2 separate regions of the Mus musculus genome follow, and region 2 is reported to be linked to region 1. Evidence: microRNA targets listed by miRTarBase, many of them from high-throughput screens and not tested one by one. Region 1 holds a microRNA gene; the other region holds the end of a gene's coding sequence.

Evidence for each region. The annotated mature microRNA mmu-miR-10a-5p reads UACCCUGUAGAUCCGAAUUUGUG and lies in region 1 at 2,153-2,175, opposite strand. An mRNA with a match to its seed (bases 2 to 7 or 8) in the 3' UTR can be bound and repressed. Matches are read on the target gene's strand: a 7mer-m8 pairs with bases 2 to 8, a 7mer-A1 pairs with bases 2 to 7 and ends in A, and an 8mer does both.
Region 2: the mRNA of Zyg11b is a reported target of mmu-miR-10a-5p. Seed matches in the 3' UTR shown: 7mer-m8 at 1,042-1,048.

What each region holds. Positions count from the first base shown.
Region 1 is chr11:96,315,294-96,319,360 of GRCm38, reverse strand. Mir10a (microRNA 10a) reads right to left here and starts at 2,196; the gene lies at 2,087-2,196. Hoxb4 (homeobox B4) reads right to left here and starts at 1,094. Exons shown (of 2, transcript NM_010459.7): 1 at 138-1,094. The coding sequence starts at 591. It also overlaps a transcript of Hoxb3 not described here.
Region 2 is chr4:108,232,278-108,236,338 of GRCm38, forward strand. Zyg11b (zyg-ll family member B, cell cycle regulator) reads right to left here. Exons shown (of 14, transcript NM_001033634.3): 14 at 1-3,917. The coding sequence ends at 3,727. Among named protein-coding and RNA genes, the nearest start is that of Zyg11a, 16 kb to the left of the region's middle.

The DNA.
Region 1 (4,067 bases):
AGACCGTAAATCTCTGGCAATGGCGAGTTTATAGCGGGGACAATTGGCTTCCCCTCGCTCCCTCCCCCACATGCCTCGGAGGTCCCTTCACTGTAAAGCGCCGGGGGTGGGAGGGGAAGGGGTGCCCACGCACTCACCCGTGCTCACGTGAACTTTGCGCATCCAGGGGTAGACGACGGGCTCTTTGCACGCGGAGTGGGACGGGCTGGGATGCAGGGGGTTCTGGGCGCAGGGAGGCGGCGGGGGGCTGCTGCTGACCGCCTCGCTGCGCTGCCCGGGCTCCGGGAGGAGGGCCCCGGCTGTTGGCTGCACTGGAGCCCGAGGGGACAGCCCGGGCGGTGGCGGGGGCGGCGGGGGCGGCGGAGGTGGCGGGGGCCCGGGGTCTCGGCAGGCCGCGTAGCGCTGCACAGTGCACGGCGCCCGGCGCCCAAAGGCCGCCTCCGGCTGGAAGCCGCTCTCTCGCCTCTGGCCGCCGGCGTAGTACCCGGGCGAGTGGTCGCTGGGTAGGTAATCGCTCTGTGAATACTCCTCGCACGGAGGGAACTTGGGGTCGACATAGTTTGAGTTGATCAAAAAGGAACTCATAGCCATTAATTTCTGGGAATTGCCCACAAAATATACTAAAATTTATTCCGACCCCTGACTCGTTTTCCTGTTTCCGAAAGCCCTCCTACTTACTGTCAAGTGAACAAAGTTAGAGGCCCACGTGATCCTCCGAGCCAATGGCCACCCGGCCTGCGATTCCCGGATAAGGAAATCTGCTCACCCGGACCCTACTCCAGCCAAAGAGGTTTATTTCCCCTTCTCTACCCCTCCCCACCCACCCAACACCAGGATTTACATAGGGCTCCCGCGGGGAGACCCCCTCCTCGCCTGGCTTTCTCCACAACAGAGAGGGGTGATGAACTAAGAAAGAGTGAGCAGGTTAATTGGAGGGCCTGTTTGGGGGTGAGGGGGCTGGGCAGAGCACAAACCCTGCATCCCTCAGAAGTTGGGGCTGCGGGTGTAGCCCCCACCCCTGCCCTACCTAATCTCCACCAACCTTTCTCTGACTCCCATAGGGCCCCATCTCCTCCCCAGGATAAGAGGGAGCTCACGCACTAGGTGTCTGTGTGGGGTTTTAAGTGGTTGGCCGACCAGGGAGCGCCTTCTTGAAATGGGTACCCACTAGGTCATAGGGGCGCTGAGCTTGGGGCTTCTCAGTGCAGCCAGATGGGGAGGGGTAGGAGGTGAGTGAGGAGGCGTCGGGAGCTAGAAGGCGGGTGCGCAGAGGGACTTGTCAGAGATGAATGGAACCGCGAGCAGATCGATAGGAAATTCACGCACTAATTCGGGGAGACTTCGCCTTCCAAATCGCATTTAGCTGCACTATGAGCATCGGCTGTGTCCGTCAGTCTGTCCTCCTCAACACTCCCTCCCTTTAACCCACAAGGCCCAAGGTCAGAGGAACGGCTGGACTCCCTCCACTAAAGACAGAAGATACAATGAAACCAAACCAAACCCGCAAGTTCCTAAAACCAATTGAATAGTAATTTGCTAATTCCAGATTCGTCGAAGCAATGCTAACCAAGAGTTCTAATTGCCGCTAAAGCCGCCGCCTCTGTCAGTGTGGCAGAAAGAAATTTCACAACCTTGAATACTAAGTAAAGGAGCCCTAGCTGTGACGCCCCCACCAACATCACACGCACAAGAACACCCATGGCAACCTTATGTTTTCAGGGCATCTTGTCTTGAATTCAACGAAACAGCAATCTTCGCATCCTTTTAAAAAGCAAATTTCCTTTGCCTTTGCACACTGCAGCCTTCAGCAATCTTTTTTTCCTCCTCATGATTTCCAATAAAGCCCCCTGGACCCAGAATAAGAATAGGTAGGTTGGGGCTTAAAGATAAATTTTAAAACACCAGTAACATTAATCTCTTGAGTGAACAAGGACCCAAGCTTCCAGGGGTGTGCATGGGGACACCTCAGGTAGATGAGATTTCTCCCTCATTGGTTGAGGGAGGAAAAGAAAAGGAGTCTTCTTGAAGGCAGTCACTGGATTGTCCTCATTTAGAAAATAATCTATTTTTCTTCTGGGAAAGAATATGAGCGGAGTGTTTATGTCAACTACATATTCCCCTAGATACGAATTTGTGACCACAAAATTCCTTACACAAATTCGGATCTACAGGGTATATACAGAAGACAGACAGGTCTTCTTGGCCCAGGAAATTTCCAGTTCTCTTACTTTCCGTGCGTTCTTCTTTTGGGTGTGATCTGAATGTTTTCATTTTTATTTCGTTTTGTTTTAATTTTGAGATCTGGGAGCAGAAAAGTCACTGTGGGTCCGTTCTTGGGATTACAAGGGGTTTCAACTTTCTATTCAAAAAATAAAATAAGATTTTTTAAAAAGGCAGCTGTTGTGCAAAGGGACTCGAACCTCGTGGCTGCCGCGCGACTTTCGGTGGCGCATGAATTATTAGATGTAAACATTAGCTAAGCACAAAAGAAGGAAGGGTCATCCCGAGGCTGCCTCGAAGTCAGAATCAGGCCTTTCTGGGTGCCCTCGGCCCCTCCCCTCCCCCCATGACTTTTTTTTTTTTAAGAAAAAATACAAAACCCCAAATAGGTTCCTCCCTTGCCCCCACAGCCTTTAGTTTGTGATCAAACACATATATAGATATTTTCCAAAGCAAAGGGAGGAGGGAGAGGTGTCTGGGTGTGAAGGGGGTGTAATAAAAGTCCTTTTGGAAAAAGTGAATGCTAAAAAGAGAGAGAAAAACAGCTGTGAGGAAAAATGCTGGGAGACCAAACAGATGGCCCCCCCCCCCATATTTAATGACGGGCAATTCCGTTTACAACCTGAGAAGAAGATCAAAGGCAGTTCATTTCCGAATGAAGGGCAATGAGGAACCATAAAAGTTGCAGCCAGATGATGTGCAGGCCCCTCCCAACCTCACATATCCCCCCCATACCTCCTGGAGGCTGGAATAAGGGGACACCCCCCTAGAGGTGTGAGGAGGACCCCCCCTACCCACACCTTATCCCCAGGCAAGGATCCTCTGTCTAGAGGCTCACTAACTGGGCCCATCCACCTGCTTGGGTTGCTGGCTGTGTGGCCAAAATGGGATTCTGGAGTTTTTGGGTGAACTTCCTGAAGCTCCCACTAACATTTGACTTTTCTAAACTGAAAAAATGAGAAATTGAGGATCTGGAGTTTAAACTGGGAGAGCTGTGACCAGGTGAGGGCAAGTGTGTCCAGCAGAGTCTTTCTCACTATCACCACCGCTATAACACCCTAGGCTTGGGGGATACTTCTGCCCTTACTGAGTAAATTACAACACAGTCAATTTCATGAACATACACAAACAAGCCAAACCCACGCATGCACACACCAGGAACCCTTGCAAATGGGCAGGAGAGCTCCCACCTGCAGGCAACTGGGTCCAGAGACCTCAGTCTTTGTTGTTGTTGTTGTTGTTGTTGTTGCTGCTGCTGCTGTTATTGTTAAACCTCATAGATCTAGGCATGGCAATGTTGTCCTCTGGGTTTGTTTTCTAACCCCAATGCCCTCCTATAGGCCAGACTCATACTTAACTGGAGAGAGAGTCAGAGAAAATACATTGTAGTTTTGATCTTCATCAAAGACGGGGTTCAATTTAGTCACCCATAGACAAAGTGTGCTGCTTTGACCCAAGCATCAAGCAAGAACAGTCCTCTCAAAAGGTATTTAGAAGTACCACGACCCACTCCAATGTCCAGGCCCCTCCCCTATCCCATATCTCCTGTCCTGCTCTTGAATACTGGTCTAACTCTGTTTCAGAGAGCAGCTAGTCTACATTTTGCTGATCTATGCTTTAACAAGGGATGTGGCCCAGGTTTCCTGAGCTCCAAGGGAGAGGAATAGGGATAGAGAGATGCAAAGCTGGGTATGGTTGAACCTAGGGCCGGAGCACTGAGATTTTCGCTTTTGCGAATAGGAGAGCCACCACCTGCCCTCCCACCAAGGCGCAGCTGCAACCCCCATCCACACTCCCTCCCTGTGTAGACGCCAGGGGCGGAAGACAGGATTTATCTGCAACTCCAG
Region 2 (4,061 bases), not on the chromosome of region 1:
ATGTTTTCATCAGCACGTACCAAGGGGGGAACCTATGGTCAAAGAGCATCAAAGACAAACCAGTATTATCCTAACACACCTGTAATTTCAAACCACCACAACGAAGGGACTAAAAAGCTAAGCAAGGGGTGTGCTGAGGGACGTAGGCAGGATGGTTGAGAGTTTTAAGCTAGCTCTGATTCCATGAGACAAAGGAAAAAAGTCAAAAATTGACCAGAGACCAGCCTAAAAGGACTCATTAGTAAGAGAACTTTATTAAATGGATTTTTATGATTGGTGTTGTTTTGTTTTGGAGACAAGGTCTCTCTATATAGCCCTGGCTTCCTAGAGCTATGTAGACCAGACCTTGAACTCACAGAGATATATAGCTGCCTCTGCCTCCCAAGTGCTGGAATTAAAGGTGTGTGCCACCACCGCCCAGCCCCTATTCTTGATTTATGGTTTTATTGATAACTTAAAAAAGAAAACATTAAATATCATCTTTTCCTTTTCTGATAGTAGGAGTTGAAATCGGTGTGCTTCCCTCCAGTACTGAGCTGAGTTGCACTCTCAACCCAGAAGGAAAACAAACTTCAGAGTACAGAGACCATGGCAAAAACATATTCAGTACACAAAACCCAGATGCTTTGATATCTATATTTTGCTTTATTCGACTCCAGTCTTACAAAGTCTCATAATTCTGTTTCCTCTCTGGCAGGAACTGAACCTGGGTCCTTGTGCATGTGTTTCTTCCAGCAGATCCAAGTCTTGCTACTCCTGACCCTATGGCTGGTGTCTGAGCATACTGATGAGTTAGTTCAACAAGGCCATTCAGGTCAGTCTAAACTATGCCTGAAAGCACACCACTAGGCCAGTGGCTTTGGAAGTACCAACCAATTACAAATGGGAGGCCTGTAGAAGCTGGCTGGACATTCGTAATTTATAAATACACATATGTATTTACTACATTTTAGCTTTAATCCCAGCACTCTGGAAGCTCTGAGTTTGAGGCCAGCCTAGTTTACAGAGGGAGTTCTAGGACAGCCAGGACTACACAGAAAAACCCTGTCTGGAAAAACAAAAACAAACAAAACAAAGCAAGAGCTATCCCTTAGCCAGACATGGTAGCACATGTGTGGAATCCTACCACTCACTCAGGAATGTCAACTGAATGAGATCAATATAGACTACAGCCTTGGGTCTACACATGGTGAGACTCAAAAACAAAAATAAAACACGGGCACTAATAGCTTGATTTACTTGGGATACAATCTGTCACTTTGAGTTTGTGGGCTTTTGTTTTTAAGTTTTGTTTGTTTGTTTGTTTTGGGGCAATCTAGCCCTGACTGGCCTGGAGAATATAAATTGAATTGGTTTTGAGCCTTCATGTATCAGGTTATTCTCAATCACTCTGTAGACCTTTTGACCATTTCTGTCTGGTTCTGCTTCTCCAGATAGGATATCAGGTAACCAAACGTTGGTTCTGAATTTGCTACGCAGCTGCTAATACTGGGATTACAGGTGAACTCTACCACACCTGACTTATTTTTCTGAAACTTTGTAAAAGGTTAGCAATAGCCTATAGCACATGTACTTTGGTCATGACACTTGGAGCCAAAGTTCTCAACTATTTCACAAGTGTACTTTGTAAGCTTGGCAAATCAACACCACAAGCTTGCTAGTTATTGTAGACTACATCATATTATCAGAACTTTGTCTTAGACGTTAAAATTGAGGGGGAAATGTCAACAAAAAGCAAAAACTACTCCTTTGAAAGAATTTTCTTTTTTCCAAATGTGTTTAACTATGAAAAAGACATCTTTTGAGATGGAGGCTGCTGAGACAAGCATCACTAGGTAGCCCAGGCTAGTCTCAGAATGGCAATCTTGTCTCCAGTGGTGAATCTGAGCAACCATCTTGGGTAAAAATGTATCGTATAGCTCTTAAAATTCCTTGAACCAATGAAGTAAGAAATAAACCATAGTTTTATATGGCTTTTTGATAATTCTATGTGTCTGTTTTCTTTCAGTTTGATTCAGTATTTGTCCTTATAAAGGAAGCCTGAAACATTCAAGTCCAAGGAGTGTGACAGTAGTATGAAACATGAGTCAGACATGGTAAAAGCATACTAGCAATAAGCTTGCTGGTCACTCTTTATAGTCCAGGCTGGTTCAGAACTCATATTCCTCTCACCTTTGTCTTCTATGCACTAGGGTACAGGTGCACACTCAGATGCACAGCTTAATCTAGCTCCTTTCTAAACTGAAACATTCCTGACTTACTTTAAAACTACGGAAAACATTTGAGACATGTATGAATGTGGTCAGAAGAGATTTCAGATTAAACCTATTTACAAAACAAGATGTGAGCATCCTGGTTTGTTTTGAGATGGGCTCTTGCTGTCTAGTCCATGCTGGCCCTGAAAGCCACCTGTTCCTTAGTGTTTTGAATTAAGGGCAAGTGCCACCAAGACCCCCTTAAAATATTTGTTTTGTTTCGTGAGAAAGGGTCTTTCCCATGTAGCCCAGGCTGGCTTGCAACTCTGTGGTCTCCAACTGTAGTTCCTTCTGTCTCATCCTTGCTATTACTGGATTATAAATCTGAATTATTCCCAACTTAAAATTATAGTGGAATTTAAGTTTGTTGCTAACTTGCTGCCTCCCGGGTTCATAGGATGATAACTGATTCTTCATATATCAATTATCTTATAGGAAAGGCAACTGCCTAAAAACTAACCGATCAAAACCATTTCCTTTTATTCAGCCGACTCCACAGGTAGCCATCCAGCCGCAGCCGCAGCAGTAGCCCACTCTTCTCTTGAGCTTTTTCTAACATGAACACATAATGAGGATCCACTACATGTCACTCTAACCCAGGCTGGCCTCAAACTCACAGCACTACTCCTGCTCAGTTTCCTGAGTGTTGAGATTGCAGGCATGAGCCATTTATGCCTGACAGATACACATATTTGAACAGAAGAAACATTCAACTTTTTGTTGTGTGTGGTGCTGGGTATTCAATTCCTACATTCCAAGAACATACTCTACCACTGAGCCACACCCCAACTCAAGTTTAAATTTTTGCAACAAATTTTCTGTCAATTGTATTTTAACTAAGCAACTTAACTCTATTCCACTGAGTAAGTAGCAGAGGGACACCAGGAGAGCCTTTTCCATTTTCAGAGCTCTACCACAAAAGCAATTTCTAATTCCCTTCAACTCGGTCCTTTCACGGTCTTTCTTTTATGTTCCTTTGATTGCTACTCAGGCTCCTGACAGCAAGAAGCTTCTAGAAACACAACAGCTTTCATCACACAAAGAAGGGCATCATGGGAAGGCAACAGAGAATGGGTGCATTTTTACAGAGCAATATAAAATTACATCGAGGTGGAGCTGAAGTCAAGTCAGCAGCCTTGCTCACCTGCAAGGAAGCCTGCGGAAGAGTGCGTGCAGCTTACCGTGAAACTGTAGAATTTCAAGCACAAGTTAAGTTCAAACACTGAGAGAGAGATTCCCTAAGAGACAATATTGAAGGAAGACCTTTCTTGCCTCATAAGTTAAAAATCACAAAACAAATCAGACTGTTCACATGGGCAGTACTGTACATTACCAATTCCAAATGGATCACAGGACTCTTACCACAGACACCCCCCACCCCGCCCCAAACACCAGAGAGCACGCTAATCCAAAGGAACCAACCACAAAAATGCTTCCCGTTGTCTGTTCGTTACACAACTATCTATGGCTATCAATTCAGCCGGGCCTGGGGCTGCTTTTTACAGGGAGGGGGCCTTCCATGGCGCACAATGTGTTTCTCTAAACTGTCCAGAATGGCCACAGCAATCTGCTGGACATAGGGATCTGTCTGCTCGTGTTCTTTGATGTTATACAAATGCTGCAGTCCTCCTTCTTCAATCAGCATGCTGCAATACCTTGAAGCTAAAAGAAAAGAAAAATGTCTTAATGTTATTCCACAAACAAAACAAGTCTTCAGAGCTTAAAACAAAACTGCAAAAACACATCAAAGGCCATGCATGGTAGTGCATGAAGCAAATCCACACAGTAAGACCCTGCCTCCACAAA